Saccharomyces cerevisiae S288C: one gene and its partners. Changing the gene in region 1 together with any one later gene gives a genetic interaction. Each region holds a gene or a part of one and is shown on either strand. Other genes may lie near its edges.

What was found.
Region 2: mutations in AAD4 (region 1) and YHR210C together harm fitness more than expected from each alone (negative genetic interaction), as found in Saccharomyces cerevisiae (one large-scale study listed by BioGRID).
Region 3: mutations in AAD4 (region 1) and YLR225C together harm fitness more than expected from each alone (negative genetic interaction), as found in Saccharomyces cerevisiae (one large-scale study listed by BioGRID).
Region 4: mutations in AAD4 (region 1) and ECM4 together harm fitness more than expected from each alone (negative genetic interaction), as found in Saccharomyces cerevisiae (one large-scale study listed by BioGRID).

Annotation. Positions count from the first base shown.
Region 1 is NC_001136.10:17,077-22,362, reverse strand, and holds AAD4 (putative aryl-alcohol dehydrogenase), read left to right. Parts: upstream 1-3,796; coding exon 3,797-4,786; downstream 4,787-5,286. Other genes in the region: YDL241W (uncharacterized protein), read right to left, coding at 1,357-1,728; YDL242W (uncharacterized protein), read right to left, coding at 3,051-3,404; THI13 (4-amino-5-hydroxymethyl-2-methylpyrimidine phosphate synthase), read right to left, coding at 5,137-5,286.
Region 2 is NC_001140.6:519,621-524,621, reverse strand, and holds YHR210C (aldose 1-epimerase superfamily protein), read left to right. Parts: upstream 1-2,884; coding exon 2,885-3,910; downstream 3,911-5,001. Other genes in the region: CRG1 (S-adenosylmethionine-dependent methyltransferase), read right to left, coding at 4,310-5,001.
Region 3 is NC_001144.5:586,299-591,447, reverse strand, and holds YLR225C (uncharacterized protein), read left to right. Parts: upstream 1-2,529; coding exon 2,530-3,753; downstream 3,754-5,149. Other genes in the region: ADY4 (Ady4p), read left to right, coding at 1-886; BUR2 (Bur2p), read right to left, coding at 907-2,094; UCC1 (Ucc1p), read right to left, coding at 3,875-4,984.
Region 4 is NC_001143.9:578,718-583,895, forward strand, and holds ECM4 (S-glutathionyl-(chloro)hydroquinone reductase), read left to right. Parts: upstream 1-3,565; coding exon 3,566-4,678; downstream 4,679-5,178. Other genes in the region: AIM29 (Aim29p), read left to right, coding at 492-959; YKR075C (uncharacterized protein), read right to left, coding at 1,110-2,033; MSA2 (Msa2p), read left to right, coding at 4,936-5,178. UniProt on the Saccharomyces cerevisiae protein: Active as '1-Cys' thiol transferase against beta-hydroxyethyl disulfide (HED), as dehydroascorbate reductase and as dimethylarsinic acid reductase, while not active against the standard GST substrate 1-chloro-2,4-dinitrobenzene (CDNB).

The DNA of each region.
Region 1 (5,286 bases):
TTCAAACGTAAGTAGCACATGCGGGCTTCTTGATATATTTGCTAGCTCAAAAAGCTAACTGAGTACAACATGGGGGCCACCCATGTTGATTATGTTCTGGTCGTAAAGTGATCTTTTACGGGTTATATTGTTTGCCCATAATTTCAGTTTTGAGGTGCCTATCGCTTCTTCTCGTTTTGTTTTGGGAACGTTTGAGTATTTACTTTATAGTGCACTTTTTTGCGTTTTCATCTCTTGACTGTTCGAAAACCAATGTTGGTGAAGGAAATAGCTAAGTATGACCTCGCCTTAAACCAATCTTAGTATCCTGTCTCTTTGCCACAGCTATTTCCTACTTCCATTAAGATCAATTTCTTTGCTATTGGAATCACAGGCGACTTAGAATGCATTTTCTATACTAGTAATTCGCAATTTTCTTGTTTTCCACAACGGTTTAATACTAAGCAGATGATATGACAATATGGCAAACATGATATACAGAAGAGAGCTTAATGGGACCAACTAAAGTTAGATGACACCATGGTCCAATTTTCTGAGCATGAACAACGGCAGAACAATAGCTGAACTGGACCGATTTGATTTTTGAACAGGAAATCTGTAATTTTTTATGCTTTGTTTTATGTAGCGATTTTATGATTATTGTTAATTATACATCTCACAAAAGCCAAGAAGAAATCTGAAAAAGTGAGCCCACACGTAGACTATTTGACGCTCATGAAAGTTGTCAAGCCTTGTGTTAGCGTTAACGTACTTCATTTAAAACATGGCCGCTTCGTGAGAAGTGGAAGCATAGTATCGATATTTTCTATAATCTAAATTATTTTAGTGCCCATAATGCAGTATACTGTATCGTATAGGAGTTCTGACTTGCTAATGTAACACAGTAGACTTCACCTTCACTTATGGATACCATTGGCTTATTAAGACATCAGAGTTCATTAAATGAATAGTAACAATCCTTGCGCAAAAAAAGGCGTCGATGACGCACTTTTGCGTTCAAGTTTTATATACTTGGAAAGCTATGACTGATGAGACGGACCTGTTTCGCATAGAAATTCGGTGCTTAACATGTAATTGCACCTTTGTTTTTGAGAAATCCATGAATTTCGCGGTAAAGGCTCGATTAATGATTATTCTATATATATGTACTATAAGCCGATTATCGCAGTTTTTCCAGCCTCCTTAGTAAATTACCCACTGTTTTAAGATGAGTCCTACTGACGGGTTACATTTTTATAGTCTTTCTTCTCAGGCGACCCAAAGTTCTGTCTGACTGTCTCGTATTATATGTAGAAACGATAAAAAATTATATGGTGGCTACTGCGACCACCAATCCAAAGTGTCATACCTTGAGAATTAGACAATTGTATACAACACTAGCATGAACAGTATGGTAAATTTGGCGAGAGAATGAGAAGGCCTTGTATTATGTATTCCCGCATTGGTTTCTGTACCTTTCCCTTGCAGAAAACCACATGCATAAAAGTCGCTTGCCACATAACTCGCATTTGTGAAGCCATGCGAACCACACGTAAACGTTTCAGGACTTTCAGCAGGCTGCCCAGTGAGAAATGTATCATAAAAAATTGAATAAGTTGGGTTCTTTTCTTTAGCAGTTTTCTTTCCTTCAGCTACCCCACAATTATAAATTTCTGTCGGCGTATAGGTTTGATTAATATAGCCCTTGCTACCGCACTTAAACAATAGAGCATTTTCAGTTACGTTCATTTTTTTGTGTCTCTATTATAGATTTTTCTTGGGTGTGATGCAAAAATCGCTGATAGGAATTATAATAAAGGAATATATATATATATATATATATATATATATATATATAGGTACTAATTGGCTTTTCTTATACGCCTCCTATTGATTCACTGCCGAAAGTGCCCTGTTATATACGACAATCATACGCCTGTTTGCAAATAGTCAACATATTCAACTCGGAAGGTAAAAGATGAAAAGGCAATTTTTTTGATTTTCTAAGAAAATGCGCAGCGGGCAGAAGGGTCTTCGCAGGCAACTGAGTAAAGAATATGAGAAAAGCCTCTAAATGTTGAACCCTGAAAAAGTTTCATCTATTTTTGATAAAGACTTTTCAATAGTGCAGGATCACGCAAGAAAAAAAAAGGTCCTTAAGAGCAATTGTGGGAAAATATAATACAATGCTTGCGTTAAAACTTCTAGTTACCTTTTACAACCGAAAGTAAACACTAGCATGGGCTTGGAGACGAGCAGCGCAAATTATATAGTTTGAGATAGAACGCTTTCTCCGGTATTGCCTGGGGAAAAGGAGTCACATGATTAGAATCGGCGAAATTTTTTTTCCAAAATTAACAGCAGGGTTGTCTGGATGTTTTATTGAAAATAGAAGCCAATGACAAACACAAGAGGCCAGTAGTATATTAATTTTAATGTGCATTCTAAAGCATCCTCACGTCTTTCAATCTGAAGTTACTGTTCGAGAAGGAGAAGAAAAGAAGGAAAAATGAAGGATATGAATAATAACATGAGTACTAGTTACGTCCAATCTGGTCACACCATATATTGATGCATCTTATGCGCCATAACTTCTTTTTTTGTAGCTATAATTTGTTGCCAGAAAAATGAAAACTTTTCAAAATCAACCAGTTTCCAATTTTTCTGCAACTCGTTATTTATGAAGATAGATGATGATTGACCCCCTTTCTCCAAAAATCGATGCAGCATTGGGTTATTTTTTGAGCTTTCTAATTATAGGGCCATTTTCTAGCAAGACTGTATAGCACATGCTCGCAAAGAACATGGCGTAATGTTCATAAGAAACAAATTTTGTAAGTTTCTTGTGCCTTTTGAGTTTGAAATCATTGACCAGAACAATGAGAACTCTAAACACGACAAATGGATCTTAAATCAATTTTCTTGAAAACATCTTCCAGTTTCGATATTCGCACATTTGCCGGTAAAATAGTGCAATCTGCCTATACCTTTAAAATGGGATCTTGAACGCGTACCTGAAGGTTTTTTTAAATAAGGCCGAACCTAAATGTTGCCTTCAAAATTAACCTGTATCAAATTTTGAAGCCGAAGTTGGTATCCTCACATTGTCTAACCTCATGGTCTCCTAAAGTCCGGCGATCACTTTCCGTTGCGTGACTATTGATGATCAGACTGTCAACAATGTCGTTCCGGGCCTCCATAGCTTGAAGAATTTTCGTTGACGGAACTAGAGGAATGGCAGATGGAGATGACCTTAGTTTCATGTCGCCTTGATAGTTATCAAAGAGTACAGAAACAAGACGTCTCTTGCTCAATAATAAGGATTGGATCAGGTGCTTACAAATTTTATTCGTCATACAAACAATTACTAATATTTTTTTAATATTAAGCGTACCCCTATTTGATTGGCTCTCTTCTAAATTCATACGTTTTAAAATCCGCTTTCAACCGTCAACATAAAATTAGTAAGCAGACCTCGTTCCAAGACCCAACTAAGTTGCACTAAATATCCTCGAACAAATTGGGGGCAGATTTTTGAACCATATAAAAGTCATGACAATATTTCCAGATCAAGGACAGTTGCAGTTCTTCCTTTCATCGGCCAGCTGACGAATTGACTGAGCGGCTTTGTATTTCACTAGAATACACTTCCTATAGCTACAAAATATTATTCAATAATATTAGTGAATTATTTAAACCTCTACCTGAACCACCTACCGAGTTGGGACGTCTCAGGGTTCTTTCTAAAACTGCCGGCATAAGAGTTTCACCGCTAATTCTGGGAGGAGCTTCAATCGGCGATGCATGGTCAGGCTTTATGGGCTCTATGAATAAGGAACAGGCTTTTGAACTTCTTGATGCTTTTTATGAAGCAGGAGGTAATTGCATTGATACTGCAAACAGTTACCAAAATGAAGAGTCAGAGATTTGGATAGGTGAATGGATGAAATCAAGAAAGTTGCGTGACCAAATTGTAATTGCCACCAAGTTTACCGGAGATTATAAGAAGTATGAAGTAGGTGGCGGTAAAAGTGCCAACTATTGTGGTAATCACAAGCATAGTTTACATGTGAGTGTGAGGGATTCTCTCCGCAAATTGCAAACTGATTGGATTGATATACTTTACGTTCACTGGTGGGATTATATGAGTTCAATCGAAGAAGTTATGGATAGTTTGCATATTTTAGTTCAGCAGGGCAAAGTCCTCTATTTGGGTGTGTCTGATACACCTGCTTGGGTTGTTTCTGCGGCAAACTACTACGCCACATCTCATGGGAAAACTCCTTTTAGTATCTATCAAGGTAAATGGAATGTGTTGAACAGGGACTTTGAGCGCGATATCATTCCAATGGCCAGACATTTTGGTATGGCTCTAGCCCCATGGGATGTTATGGGAGGTGGAAGATTTCAGAGTAAAAAAGCAATGGAGGAACGGAAGAAGAATGGAGAGGGTCTGCGTACTGTTTCGGGTACTTCTAAACAGACGGATAAAGAGGTTAAGATCAGTGAAGCATTGGCCAAGGTTGCTGAGGAACATGGCACTGAGTCTGTTACTGCTATTGCTATTGCCTATGTTCGCTCTAAGGCGAAAAATGTTTTCCCATTGGTTGGTGGAAGGAAAATTGAACACCTCAAACAGAACATTGAGGCTTTAAGTATCAAACTGACACCAGAACAGATAGAATACTTAGAAAGTATTATTCCTTTTGATGTTGGTTTTCCTACTAATTTTATCGGTGATGATCCGGCTGTTACCAAGAAGGCTTCACTTCTCACGGCAATGTCTGCGCAGATTTCCTTCGATTAATCAGATTTCTTTTTTGGTGCGTTTGTGTAAGAAATATGTCCTTATATATTCCACGCTATCTACTTTTATACTTTTGAATAAGCCGCACCTAAAAACAGTCTTTATCCCTCACCTAATTCAGGCGTAAATTGTGCAGGTTACAGCATTTGAAGTGGTAAATCGAGGCAACACAAGACTTTCGATACTTGGAGGCAAGTACGATAATTACAAGGGAAAAGAAGCTGTAATAAAAGGCTCATAAATAATATCTTAATAGTAAATATCTAAATATCAGGGAGGAAAAAAAACCTAATGGGAAATCATAAACAAGTCGTAGAGGAAGGCTACGCTCGAGGAGTGACGAAGTGCGTTTAAGCTGGAAGAGCCAATCTCTTGAAAGTACCTTCCTGTCTGCATTTTTCTTGATGAATAGCCATCAATCTTTGGGCTTCCAAAGGATCAGAAACCTCTTCTGGTTCTGGCCAGGACAGGTATTCATTAGTGTAGTTCGAGACATAGTC
Region 2 (5,001 bases), on another chromosome or scaffold:
ACCAGGTGAATTTAAATCGGCTTGAAATCCTTTCGGAGTATGATTCCAAGGTTGGGAAGGAACAGTGCCTCGATTCTTGAAAATGGAACCATACTACTTATTAAACTTCTCGCAATAAATGAGCAAAAGTGCTTCATCATGGCTGCACTTCTAAAATATGAAACCCTCTTACCTGTAATCACTAAAGAACTGGCTATTAAAAACAGAATTTTTTACAAAAAAGAAAGAGGCTTTTCGTAAGGTTTTCCCCTACTTTATTCTTACTACGCGCTGGGCTGGGTTGAAAGTGCCTAAATTCTAGTGTTTTGAAAGTCACCTAATACTGGTGATTTATCTTTTGTTGTGCAGCACTGCATGTGCGAATGGTCCATGATGAGAAAGGCACAAAGACTCGAGCTCATCATTTCCTGGTATTTTTAGTGGGGATCTATCAATAAAGGCGGCTTGTCAACTTGACACACACAATAAAAGACCTCATTTAATTTTGTTAAAAGAACATTATCTGTTAAACACGCTGTGTTACTGACATTGTTTCATAAGTAATAAAAGATCTGACTATTATCTTATCCATACCAGTGTTCTGTTTGACAAGTAGCTGCAACCGGAAGTTATTCCTTCTCCACTGCAAAGATCGTTTAATTGTCCCATCCTGCGCGATCACGTAACATGCTATGAACGTCGGGAAATTTTTCACTTGTGAAGTCTTAGAATGTGTAATCATGTAACTGAGGTTTCTGACGACTAGTAGCATATTTGAACTCTATTAGGATTAACACGAAGTTCTAATGATTTTTCTTTCTCGGAGTTAAAAGGAAACCCGAACGTTTGTTGCCTCTAGATTTTTTCCATATATTTTCCATATGTTCACTTTTAGCAATCGCCTTTGCTTGTCTGATTTAGTTGAAAACAACAGCATTTGATATTCATGAAAGTCTATTAAAGGAAGAAAGTAAAGAAACTTTCTTCGCCTGTTTTCTTCCTAGAATACTGTTATACCAATAGAAATTGAAGGTTTGGGAGAACTTTTGAGAAACTTTTTTAAATTTCAAGACCTGTGCTTTGAACGTGTCTCATTTCTGCGTACAATGCCAAAGTTGGAAGGTTTTCTTGCGTATGGTTCTAGTTCTTTGCCAAATTATTGATTTCAATCACGCTTTAAAGTTTTTTCTGGGTTTTCTCCACATAGGATAGTGACAAGAAGTGCGGTAGCCATGTGGTTTATTGCAGATCACAGTATGAAGGACCTTCAACTTACCTTATTTACTTATTAACAGGAAATTAAGCGTCATAAAAAACTACAGCGGTGATAGGAGCTGTGAAAGGATCCATATTGCTATCGTGAGTGAAAACGAAGACAACCTGAAAATAAGTATTTTTCCGCCGTTCTTCAACGATGTATTTAGATATCAGTCGATATTAACGTATAGGAGGAGGATCGATTATCGTGAAGATAGAAAATAATGACCGAAGAAGATTCCCTGGTAGCGCACACTTCAAACTAAGGGTTGGTCTCCGGTAAATATCAAGATTTGTACATTTGGCTAAGTGCTGGAACCCATGCAATTGATCTTATTGTGATGATTTGATGATATTCCTCCGTCAGAAAGTCCTAGAACACAACCTCTGGATGAAAACAGAAAAGAAAAATATGCAAGATGTTCAAGTGCGCGCGGAGCAAAAAAAAAAAGGAACAGAATACTAAAAGAATACGTCGCGAATCTCGTTATTGACAAGGCATGTTTGGATGAAAACATGTAATGCCCCATTCAGCTTATTTTTCAACATTTTCAGAGTAACACGCAGAAGAAGACTTTGTTTTTCCAAAACCTCCTTTTGCACTCAAAAAGAATGCCAGTTCAGCATGGCATATTGGAGATTATTTTTCATAAAACTGTAAGAATTGTAAAGCAAAACTGGTGCACTGCTACATCAACTCTTATCTTCTTGCATATAAATTTAAATGAAAAGGAACTACTTTGTAATTATCGATATTACATTGAAACCTATGAGGAAGATTATGACATGATAACACTAAACTATTGCTGGCCAGCACCCGAACCGAGTGTCCAAATTGAGTTTTGAATCAGTTTTCAGCTCAGAACAGATTCCCCTTTTCCTTTATTAGGTCGTATCATCATTCTATGTGCAACTACTGCAGCATTTGCGTATAATTATGGAAATAAAATTATACGAAAGTTGATACTTGGTTGTAAATGGCCTAAGAATCGGAAAAAATGGAATTCTATTGGCATGCTATCTTGTTTAATGAGATTATGAAGTTGAATATCATTTCTGCGTTTTGCATTCAAACAATATCATTTCAAAGGCCTATCGCTGTGAGCAATACGCTGGATTTGCTCATCGCACAGTAAGCCTGCACTACCCCACCAAATTACAAGAATATAGTAGAGATCAGAAGCTTATGAGAAGTCACTTCCAAAATTCGCGTTGTCCAACATCCTTGGAATAATTTTTCCTCCTTATGCATCCAGGTGATTGACACTTTTTGACGGGATAAATGCAGGTGGAGGTGGGGGAGGGGTAAAGTTTCGTAAAGAGTGTCAGGTCGCATATCTTTGCACTGCGCAGAAATTCTCGCAGAAAATTACGCTACGGAGAAATTCTCGGGCACTAATATCGTACAAAAATTAGGTTTGTTACGTGATAATATGGCCTTGTACCTGTTAAGTTTTTCCGACAATTAGTTACTAGCTGAATATCTTAAAAAAAGGTAAAAGTAACTCCTCCATGGTTTGGTTATTCATGCGTAAACACCTTGGATGCTCTGAGATATAAAATCAGAATGTACTACGAAGTACTGGAACTCAATTGTACATTATGTTACTGCAATAAGTAAATTCACCTAAAAAGCCAAAAAGTGATAATGTCAAATAATAAGGCTGGCGGTGAATATGAAGTCATCACTATTGGTGATGCAAAAAAGCTTCAAGCAACAATTTCAGAGCTTGGCGCTACTTTGCTTGACTTGAAAGTGAACAACGAATCGATTGTTCTAGGATACCCTGATATTCATGGCTATATATCAGATGGCTACAACTACATTGGTGCTACTGTTGGCCGTTATGCAAATCGTATTTACAAGGGCATGTTCAGTATGGAAGATGGACCTCATCAGTTGACAGTGAACAATTGTGGAAACACCAACCACAGTAGCATCAGCTCCTTCCATCTCAAGAAGTATAAGGCATCCAAAGTCCAAAATCCTCTTGATGACCTTTACATTGTTGAATTTACGTTATTGGATGACCGCACACTGCCCAATGAATTTCCGGGAGATCTAGCTGTAAACTTAAAGTACACATTGAACGTTGCTGACATGACCTTGGACTTGGAATACGAGGCAAAACTGGTCAGCGGTGAGGCTACTCCCATCAACATGACGAATCACACGTACTTCAATTTAAACAAAACTATGGATAAAAAATCCATTAGCGGTACGGAGGTTAGGCTCTGCTCAGATAAATCATTGGAAGTAAGCGAAGGAGCACTAATTCCAACCGGTAAAATCGTTCAAAGAAAAATTGCTACTTTTGACTCCTCCAAACCTACCATTCTGCAGGATGATGGCCCGATTTATGACTACGCTTTCATTGTTGATGAAAATAAGAATTTGAAAACGACAGACTCAGTAAGTGTAAACAAGCTCGTCCCTGCCTTCAAGGCTTATCATCCGGCATCACGACTTTCATTGGAGGTTTCAACAACAGAACCAACTGTCCTATTTTACACAGGTGACAACTTGTGTGATGGATTTACGCCGAGATCTGGCTTTGCCGTTGAACAAGGCAGATATGTTGACGCAATCAACCGTGATGGATGGAGAGACTGCGTTCTTTTGAGACGTGGTGAGGTATATACTTCTAAGACTCGATATCGTTTTGCGGTGTAGGCACCAAATTTAGTTGTTTACTTTGCACTGTCGCATTATTTTTCTATAAATTGAGCTTTTTATAATGAGATATGATCCGGAAACAGCTTTCTGAAGTGCATATGTTATAGTTAATATTAAGAATTTTTTGAGACTTTATTATGTTACCATGATTGCATTATCTTTTAATGTTAACAGTAACAAGTTTACGTATCGCTTTAAAACATAATTACATTCAGAGGTCGGAATTTAGAGCCAATAAAATTTTTAGAGCATATGTTGACGGTTTTAAATTACTCCCAACTGCGCAACAACACCTTATTTTCTTTTTGCCATATTTTAATATTTATTAGCATTTGGGAAATATTTAAAAAAAGAAAAAAATCAGCTTTTTATATATTTCTTTTAATTTAGTAAACCTCATTCTCTTTTCCTACATAAGTAATAAAACGTTGACCACTCTATTTTTAAAGGTACATTCAAATCTTCACAATGACAGATTTCTTTGAGCTCGTTAATGAATATATCGGCAATATCCGGTTTCGAGGGATTATCTCTAGCCCAAGAAGTGTATATGCTCCAGCTTTTCACAAACTCTTTAAATTGATTGAGAGTAATAGCTGCTCTCCAGAGAAACTGACTGTTTTCAGCCGTTACTGTTGATGCATTTGGGTCCGAAGGACTGTAAATTGTGACTTCAATATCTCCAAATCGATCTGACAATAAAGAACGTAGCTTTTCACCACCGTAATTCAACAAAATTTCCCGTTGGTTGTCGTTCAGATATTTACCCATATAATCCTTGCTCCATCCATATTTGTAATATACATTCAAGGCTTCGGGAAAGTCCACAAATTCCGGCTGAATATAAAACCAGAATGCAAAAGTTCCATCACTTCGTAATATAGAGGAAACCTGCTGAAACAGCCTTTCTAAATTGCACCAATGGATGGCTTCTGCTGAAATAACCATATCTACACTTTCTGGTCGAATGCTGGATAAATCTTCACCAGGCGCATTAATAAATCTAATCTTTTTATCTAATCTACGTTCATTTGTTTCTTTCTCAGCAATCGAAAGCATAGCAGAAGAAGGATCAATCCCAATCACTT
Region 3 (5,149 bases), on another chromosome or scaffold:
CCCTAATTATTCCCATGGCTTCGATTTAAATGAGGAGACCAAGTCACTTCAATGGCACTGGTCACTCGACGAGGTAGATGTTATTGAGGCGTTATACTGCGTCGCTTTCGATGCGATGGATAAGATAACGCTTAAATTTTCAAAGGTCAATGAAAATTTTGTTTTTAGTCAGTTTTTTCAGTATTGTGCAGAAATCGAAGAAATGTTAGCCATTCTGAGAGGAAAAATTTGGGAGTGTGAATGTGATGTGTTCGGTCCCAGAATCGGACTATTAGTAGATAGTAACCACATGAATGAAACAATTCAAAAAAATATTCTGTCAATAACTTTCAAACTTAAAAATGACCCTCAGATTATATGCTGCTTGAATAAAATTCTGGAAGGCTTATTACTTTCATCAGGTGTTCAATTTAAAGTTATCCAGTTTTTTTATGTATTAAAACTATACTATATGCAAGATAATGAATACACATTCGAAGCATCATCTGAAATGGATAAATTGACCATAGAATGCTTATGTATCATCGAAAATATTATTGATGCTTGTGACAATCCTGATGAAGTAACTGACTACCAACTACCTAAGGTACTGTTGACTGCTATGGAGGGGAAATTACTTGTTGCTGAAAAAATATCCGAAGATAATGACTGTTCAGAATCTCTGGACGATTATCATCCCCGAACTTACCAATTCAGACATCCCAGAATAATAATAGACAAGATGAAAACAAAATTGAAGCAGAAACTGCGCTTTGACTCACCTAAAGATCCAGAAACAGATGATCATTGGATTGAGTATTGGAAATATTGCTATCAGGATAACATAGGGAACTTGCCGGACATTTTGTCACGTATATATCAAACCTTTACTGATCCCTCCAATTAAACATAACTTGTACTCTATTTTTATATTTTAGGTTTTTTGGCATCTGGGGTTCTTATAGGATCTTTAGCCTTTCTCTTCATACTTTCTTGTTTAGCCTTATCTAGTAAATCTTTAACCCTTGTTTCAATATGATTCAAAAACTCTTCCTTCACCTCACCGGATTTAATCAACTCGTAGTTAAACGGATCAGAGATTTCTGAAACTTCATTTTCCACATCGCCACTTTCGTCAATCACCGAATCAATCATGCTTGAATCAATTTGTAATTTAGCACCTTTATTACTTTTTAAGTTGAAAAAATTCTCTTCCAGTAACTTGTAATCGGTAAAGATATTGGCAAAATTTTCCGGCGTTACTTCGATAGGGAATCTATCCTTGAAGAAGTTTTTCGGATATCTGAAATCTTTGTCTACAAGCTTTTTATACTCTAAACCACAGTATATGAGAGATAGTACAATGAACGTATAACCGTCGCACAATAAAGAAACTGGCTGGGTGACAGCTTGGACCATAAAATTTCTTGATTCTTGAAGAATTTTTGGAAAAGCTTTTTTAAAGTTTTCTGGCAGATTGTGATCCCTGTTGAATCTATAATAGCCACTGAACACTTCTTCAATCAATTCTTTTGGATTACTGATATTTAAGTCAAAGCCAAATAAACATAGTATTTTTTTTTCATTCGTCACTAACTTATCTCTAAATTCCCATTTAAGTTTATCAATATTTGTTCGACTTTTTAAAGACGGTATATTTTGCATCAAAAACTCACAAGTCGCCTTAATATAGGCCTCTATAGGCCTATTATTCTCCATTGTTTTGCAAGCGGTGACCAGAATTCCCTGTGATATATGAATACATTCAGTTATGGCTGTAGGTATTCCATATATGAACCAATACCTGTAAAATAGAATGCATGATGCCGTATAGGTGTGATCAAAAAGATTTAATTTTTTTTTAAGTGTGTAAAAGTACATTAAGCATTTTTCCATATTTTTTTTTATTTCCACTGCTATCGGTCCATTAGTGCCTATCTTTTCAATAATATCTTTGCACTCAAAAACCCACTGGTTTTCTGGTGTTTCTATCAAATCCGGCCATAGGGTCCTTGCGTTAAACCCACTCGATGCTGGTGGTGGTGATGCATTGCTCGTTGGTTTTGGTACAGCTTGAAATTTTTTCACGTCACCACTTGAAGATGTAGCAGACATTATCTTACTGTAATATATTTTAAACGAAAATACTACGGCCTCCTTCAATATGTGTATATAATTACCAATCAAAATAGCTACTTGCTTTCTAACAGAAATAGTGATACTTTTTAATCACTTTTCTTTTTTTACTGAACAGTGAAAAATAGAAGTCACAATGAGACCTAGGTCAAAAAGCCATAATGAATAGGGTTTGCAATAAAAAAGCTTTAAACGATAGGTCTGTTAAAGAGGATAAATAGGTTTATCATGTATCATTTGGTTTTTTGGGATAGGGCTTGGCAAAAACCATAACAGGGGAATGAGATTTTATATATAAATAGACAAGATAGATACTAAAATAGTGACGGATTCTCTCTAAATATTCGAGAAATTTTCAAAATTTTAGGGCAACGAACAGTTTAATTAACATAAAAATCATAGAGCAAAGAAAAAATGGCGGTTGCGATCAAAAAGGAGAAGACGAAATTTGCCCCCGTTAAGGAAGTTTTATCCGAGAAGGATCATGCTAATTATACTAAATTTCAGGATACATCGAAACTAGAATGGTTTTGCAGGACGTCAAATCACAAAAAGTTCAAGTCACATAGTTTATTAAAAGCAGTAAGAAATCCAACGGAAACAAGAATAGAGACACAAACTCTGTATTTTACGGATCTCACCAACGGCAAATGTGGATTAATTCAACTATTATATTCCAGTGTTATGGGCGGTATATACAAAGGTTTTCAGTTAAATTTCAAAATATTTAAAGCCAGCAGTGAGGAAAACTCTGAAGAAGACATTGATATATGGGAAAGCTTTAAAATTGATAATATCAAAGATTTTGATACGTTAAAAGTTGAATCGGACAATGTTACGTTTCACTTCGTACCTTTGGAAAATTCTTCCTCCAGTGGATTTGCTCAATTATTAATTAAGATAGATATTCCGAAGGGAAGTACAAGCTGTTTACTAAAAGATTTGAAGGTTGACATTACCGTAAATTTACAAGAAGGATTCATAATAAACCCGGACGGTTCCAATTATTACCTTGACAAGAGCATCAGCTTGGAAGAGTTAGCAAAAAGAGACTCTTCTAGTACGTCCAGAAAAATGATAAGACATGTTTTTGTTCCTAGAGGTTTTTGCAATGGTACCATCTCATACAAGAAAAACGATAAACCTGTGAAGCTGGACTTGAAGGACACGCCTATGTTGTATCTGGATGCTGTCCAGGGGCTAATACCCAATAAGGCGGCTAGTAAATGGAATTTTCTTTGTTTCAATGGTGAGAAGCGTTCGATGATGTGTATTGAATTCACCACAACAAAAGAATATGGCAGCACTACAGTGACTATATGGGCGGTTAGTGATAAGGACAAAATTTTGGAGGTCGGGTCAAGTGTAAATGATCATGCTGTTAAATTTCCATCTACAAAAGAGGATAAGCAAAATGGTTGGAAATATCCTACATCCATTTCATTTCCGCGTGGTTTTGAAGAATCTAATTTAAGATTAGTCAATAGGTACGATATAATGAGTGAGCTGCCCGCTTTCATTAGGTCTATTGCTGAAAATCTGGCAAACATGAAGCCATTCATTTACCAATTCTGCCAGAAGTCTAAATTCGATGACGATGAAGGAGTTTCCATCATTGAAAGTACATTTATCAATTGAAAAAAATGAAATTTGACTATACATATTTTCATCATTGCAAGAATATTATATCCATTTATAAGTAGGTAGGTGCATAGACGTATATACACATATATTATAGACTAATTGATAAATTTTTTTTTCATCTTCGAAGATAAGGGGTATTCCAGTTGGGCAATGCTATTTCTTGACCAAGATCTTGCTTTTGTTCCGGATGCTTGTAGACGAAAATTCTTATCAATTTGGATGGCTTGTAAGGTAAACCGTGCCCAATTATCGTGTCTCTAGGAAATGAAATTTTCTCTTCAGATTGTAAGCAGGCCAAACTCCATGCAAACTGGTATGAAAAAGAACATTCACTATAGTTGAAGATTGCTTCAATGCTATTTACGGGTTCGATTCTAAAGAGTAACCACGGCTTCGATATCTGATATGGAATAAAGTCATAACCGAGTAGAACTAAATCACCATTGATACAAACATCTGAATCTGTCCTGTCGATAGCTTTCAGTTCCAGGGGAAGATGTGTCGTTCCAGTGCCTTCAAAAATTTGCTCATCGTATAGCCTGGGAAGGTGGCCTAGGTTAACACAGTATATTCCTTCAGATGTTATCAATTCGTTGATATATCCTGCACTTGCCACGATCTGCTTCGGCCCATAGTTGCATATGCCTATTTCCGTAATAATTTTCGGTATGTATCTGGCAACGTGCGCATTTTTTACATAAAACCAAACGTTTACCGGTGTAGGCTCGTCCTTCCTCCTGGACCAAAAGTTAACAGGTAAAGCTGTCAACGACTGCATAAGAGTTCTTTCCTTGGGCCGACTATTAAAGTTACTGGTAGAATCAGAACCATTTGAATCTTGACTTTTGGTATATTTGTCCCATCCCATATTAATTATCTTTCCAGGATATTGCAGCGCATTGTATACAATATACCAAGAATCTGCGATGTATTTAGTCATGCACAGTGGCACATTAAAACCTGGTTCCTTCGTTTCTTGAATGATTTCTCTGGCATGCTGTCGAAGTGGGTCCAAACTCTTGACATATAAACATAATGAATGTTTGACAACGGCCCATATATAGTTGTCCTCAGCTATCCACGCCAAACTCTTCTCCTTATAGCTGTGGTTATGCAAAACGTAGAAGTATTTATTGACAGCACGAAGTTCATTAGGCACGTACTCTAGTAATGATAAATGTATCTCCAGTGGTAAATCCATCAAGCTGCTATCGCTCTGATTCATCTCTTGTTTGCACACTCTGTCTTCTTTGCGCCAATAGGCATAGTACAAACAAAAAAACGAGCCAAGCAAACAGCGGAAACTCTATTAAAGGTTATGCTACCTTCCGATAGTGATAATATTATGAGAAACTCCAATGTAGATCTACTTGTCTGAGATGGCCTTTGA
Region 4 (5,178 bases), on another chromosome or scaffold:
AACACAATTTATGAAACCTCAGGTTTGATGCTCCGGAAAGCCTATTTCTCACGTTTTCCGGCACTTAATGCGCATATAAAAACATAGTCTCTACGTTACGAGGATTTATCATAGAACCCAAATCAGCAGTAATAAATTTCCACGGTCAAATTAAACTCTTGTCGTTGATATGGGTGTAGTGTGATGGTGGTGACCACTATTTCGCCTTTATTAGTTATTTATATGAGTTAGCCCTCCGAAGAACTCATCCTTGTTAGCTCAGTTGGTAGAGCGTTCGGCTTTTAAGCGCATTTGCTTAAGCAAGGATACCGAAATGTCAGGGGTTCGAGCCCCCTATGAGGAGTTCTTTACTTTTTTAGATTCGGCGTTCAATGCTAAAGAAAAAAAATGAAAATAAGTTTCAATTAATAGTGAAAGAAAAGGAAGGAAGTTAGAACTGAAATGCGTAGACTACCTCCCCCAAATTTTTTCTTGTTTGGTTGCATTATTTCATGAATTCAACTAAAAGGCTGAAAATGTCAACAACCTTTCATGATTATGACTTGGAAGAGCCATTAACCTCAAATGCCAGACCACTAAAGAACTCCGTTATTACAATCCGAGTAATAAAATCTTTCCCATATAGAAACGTCAAGAACATAGTGCTGCACGATTACGATCTTGCTGATAAAACTGCAAAGGACCTGTTCAATGACGTTTTGAACAAAATTCAAAATGAAGGTTCATTCAGACCATTCCGTAATGTTAAGTTTGATACTTTAAAGATATACACGCACGCACATGGTTCCAAGACGGTTAATCTCGTGATCAATTTTGACCACGATGACGACTGGACTTTAGACATAGAGAATGACAAAAAAAAGCTGTTCGAGTATGGCATTGAGAATGAAACCGAAATTTCGCTTTTCAACAAAGAGGATTACCTAAGGTTTAAAGAAAACCCTGAAGAAAAATGGTGAGATGTTGTTTGGCTTATGGCCTTCATTAATAAGTAAGTGCTATGAATATATTACATATATATATATATATATGTTGTGTACGAGAGTATACTCGTATGTAAATTAACATCAAATGTGTATGTGGAAATGCAGAAGAGAGCAAACTCTCCTTTAAAAAACAACCTGGTTCCTATAAAAAATGTCTTCTTCCATAGTGCCAAATGTATAGTTGCTGAACTCATAATGAGCTTCTTTTATTGTTTCATCAGAATGAGAACTATTTTGATGGTGATGGTGATGATGGCGACGATGGTGACGGCGATGGTGGCGGGAATGTTGGATATCGTTTATGTTGATGAGGGATTCGCGGATAGTCCCCTTTGAGTCGATCTCCCTCTTCATCACGGCTTGGTTAAACTTCAACTTCCTGGGGAATTGTTCCTTCTTTTCGTTCATAAGGTCTTCAGAATCTTCATCTATGGAGGAAATTTTAGTGCATGTAGAATGCTGGTCGAAAATGGAAGACGTGTGAGAATCAACAGACGATGGGCATGAAATGTCTTCTAATTTCACCAAAGCGTTGTCATTGCTCTCTATAGAAGCGTTAATCTCATCCACCTCCTCGGTTACCCAGCATTCCGTATTTTTCTTTAAAGCAGATTTTAGATTTTTTGTTTGTTTCTGGTCAATTTGGTTCTGGACCGGCGATATTTCGTTTTCATTACTATCTATGTTAGTCAAATCTGGACCGTACAACACCGTTACATCGGTTTCTTTGTTCCAGTTGATGGACAGTGGATTGGATTTGGAGTTCTGTAAACCATAGTGATTTATGGACCAACGCCTCCAGAGGCAATGATGTAGCCTAACGAGGTACATGTTGTAATCTAGCACGTCCTCTGAAGAGCAACTTGGTAATCGAAGTAGTTTATGTTTGCGCATCTTCAATAGTAGTGTCCATGAAGCCGATATTTCCAAGCTTGCATCATTAAATTCATGATGGAAATAGTCAATCGCAGGCTTGTTGTAGTTGGTCATGTTATCCAGTAACATTATATTCTGGTACGAAATTATTGTATCGTCCAAACTAGTCATTTTCTGTATATGTATCTATTTGTGTGTGTATGAACACTTGTGTGTAGTATCTGAATGCGATAAGAGAAAGGGCCAAAGTTGAACTGAATGCAAAAAGTAAAACCTATAAAACCGTGTTGACCATACGCTTTCATATATATATATATATATGTTTGTTTTTGCTAAGACCCGGTAACTGTACTTTTTCTGCAGTCATCCAAGGGAAGACAAAAGAAGAAAGAAAAAACAAGATTAATGTCCCCAGGTTTTTTCTTTTCCTGGCGGAAAAAGCTCAAATCTAACATTTCCCCGCGGGGGTTTCTTTGTAAAGAGTATCGAGTCGGAAACGAAAAAAAAAAAAAGATGAGAAAATGAATTTTTCCGGTCGCCTAAAGATAGAGGTACCAGCGGAAAAAATGCAGCAAAAGCAAAATACCCCATTCAAGTTCCCCCTGTCTCGCCCCTCTCACGCTTCACTGTCCCCCGCTTTCGGTTTTTCCGGCTACGGCATTTCTGTTGAAAGTTGCCGGAAAAACCCCAAAAAGCATAAAAAAAAAGAGCGGGGGGAAGAAAAAAAGATTCCTTTCTATCTTTTCCTTCCCCGGCCTATTCGGGTACTCGCTTCCGGGTCCGCTGTCGTTTATAATGATTAGTGCAGAGAGCTTTCTTCTCTTAGTTTTTCATGTGGTAAAGGCAATGCCATTTAGAAGGATACTACGTGGGGTTCAAAACCGTGAATACGTTGTCTATCGTGTTATGTATGTTCTGAGTTTCTTTTTGTCATTCTACTAGTTTATGGACTGGGACTATGTATCTTGCAGTATGATTTCGTCAGGAAGCTTGTCATAGCAAGGCCTGAACAAATCGTACGTTAAAATAAAAATGAGCACCAATTCGAGTCACTGATGCCTACTGCTCAATCCAACCATCTAGTTCTGCAAAGATACTTACTCCGCATAATTAAAAAAATAAGGTATTTTAAAGTTGTGTAGTGACGAATGTAGTGACGCGGAAACGTTTTACTCGTCAATGGACATTTGCGAATGTGTCCGATAAATAGTTGAGGCTTTTCCTGCATTCTGTCAAGAAGGGTATGTGTATGAACATGCAAATGACACTGTAAAATGATTCATTACCCTGATTATGGAGTGATTTTCTTTCCTTTTTTTTTTTACATTTAGTTTCATTATTATGCAAATTAGAGGGTATACAGTTGAGATTTTAACACTTTGAATTAAAAAGTGTTACAGAGGAAACCGACGCAAAAGGCTTGGTGACGCAAACTTTTCCATCTTTATTTCACCTCTTCAGACGGTCCTAAGACCTTTTGAACGTATCAATATAGTTTTATCATCTGTTCTCTGTTGTTCTCCGTTACTAAGATATTAGTCAGCTCTTGAAATTTCACACCCCTATTTATTTGTCTTAGCGTCCAACCCCTCTCAACCCTTTTCCATTTCTTGTATAAAGGTAGTTAATTAGGTAACGCTGCTCTTACCATCACTACAGTGCTTACGAGAATTTACCCAAACCCTGCGCAAGATAAATAAGAAATGTCGAAACAGTGGGCGAGTGGTACAAACGGAGCTTTCAAAAGACAGGTTTCGTCCTTCAGAGAAACAATCTCTAAGCAACACCCAATTTATAAGCCAGCAAAGGGAAGATATTGGTTGTATGTTTCACTTGCATGCCCATGGGCCCATAGAACACTAATTACGAGGGCTTTGAAGGGATTAACCTCTGTTATAGGATGTAGCGTAGTCCATTGGCACCTTGACGAGAAAGGATGGAGATTTTTGGACATGGAAAAGCAATTGGAGGACAGTGAAGATTTTTTGGAACATTGGCACGATGTTGCAGGTGGTATTAGAACTGCTAAAGAGGATTCCAGCAAGAGCTTCGCCGAGATCAAGAATGACAGTCAAAGATTCATGGTTGATGCTACCAATGAGCCTCACTATGGATACAAGAGAATCAGTGACTTATATTACAAGAGCGATCCTCAATACTCGGCAAGGTTCACCGTCCCAGTCCTGTGGGACTTAGAAACCCAAACAATTGTTAACAACGAAAGTAGCGAAATTATAAGGATTTTGAACTCTAGTGCGTTCGATGAATTTGTCGACGACGATCACAAGAAAACGGACCTTGTTCCTGCTCAGTTGAAAACACAGATCGATGACTTCAATTCTTGGGTTTACGACAGCATCAACAATGGTGTATACAAGACCGGATTCGCAGAGAAAGCAGAAGTTTACGAAAGTGAAGTCAACAACGTATTTGAACATTTGGACAAAGTGGAGAAAATCCTGAGTGACAAATATTCCAAATTGAAGGCCAAATACGGTGAAGAAGATAGACAAAAAATCTTGGGTGAGTTCTTCACTGTGGGTGATCAATTAACAGAAGCTGACATTAGATTGTATACTACCGTCATAAGATTCGATCCTGTGTACGTCCAACATTTCAAATGCAATTTTACCTCTATTAGAGCCGGATATCCATTTATTCATTTGTGGGTAAGAAATTTATACTGGAATTATGATGCCTTCAGGTACACAACAGATTTTGACCATATCAAGTTACACTACACGCGTTCCCACACAAGGATCAACCCCTTGGGAATTACGCCCCTGGGACCCAAGCCAGATATTCGTCCTTTATAACAAGCTGTAATTAAATAATCAAATGTCTATAATCTCCCTGAGTTGCCTCTTTTTCTATACTCAATTGGGTAATTGACGCGAAACGCGTTAAAGTGCAAAAAAAGGCCTGGAAATTATATTTAACGCAATGAAATATTTTCATAATATGACATTCATGCACAGCTGTATTCATTCTTCTACTTTGTAGTTTGTTATTCTTCTTTATCGGTTTCGTTTTACAAAAGATTTTAGCAAGGAAGCAGTTTTTAAACCAATCAATGGTATACACAACACCGCAACAACAGCAGAGATTCAGCTCCACACCGCAATCTAGCCACACTCTTATCTTCTCGCCAATCAGAGCCCCTTCAATGCAAACGCCCTCCTCATTGGATTACCAATCACCTTCAATTGTTGTGTCATCGTCTTCAATGAAGGTTCACGGCCGGTCTTCCAGTTTCGGTAAATTTTCACTGTCTATTGGGCAAAATGGTAAGGCTACAATACTGGGGCCTATAAAC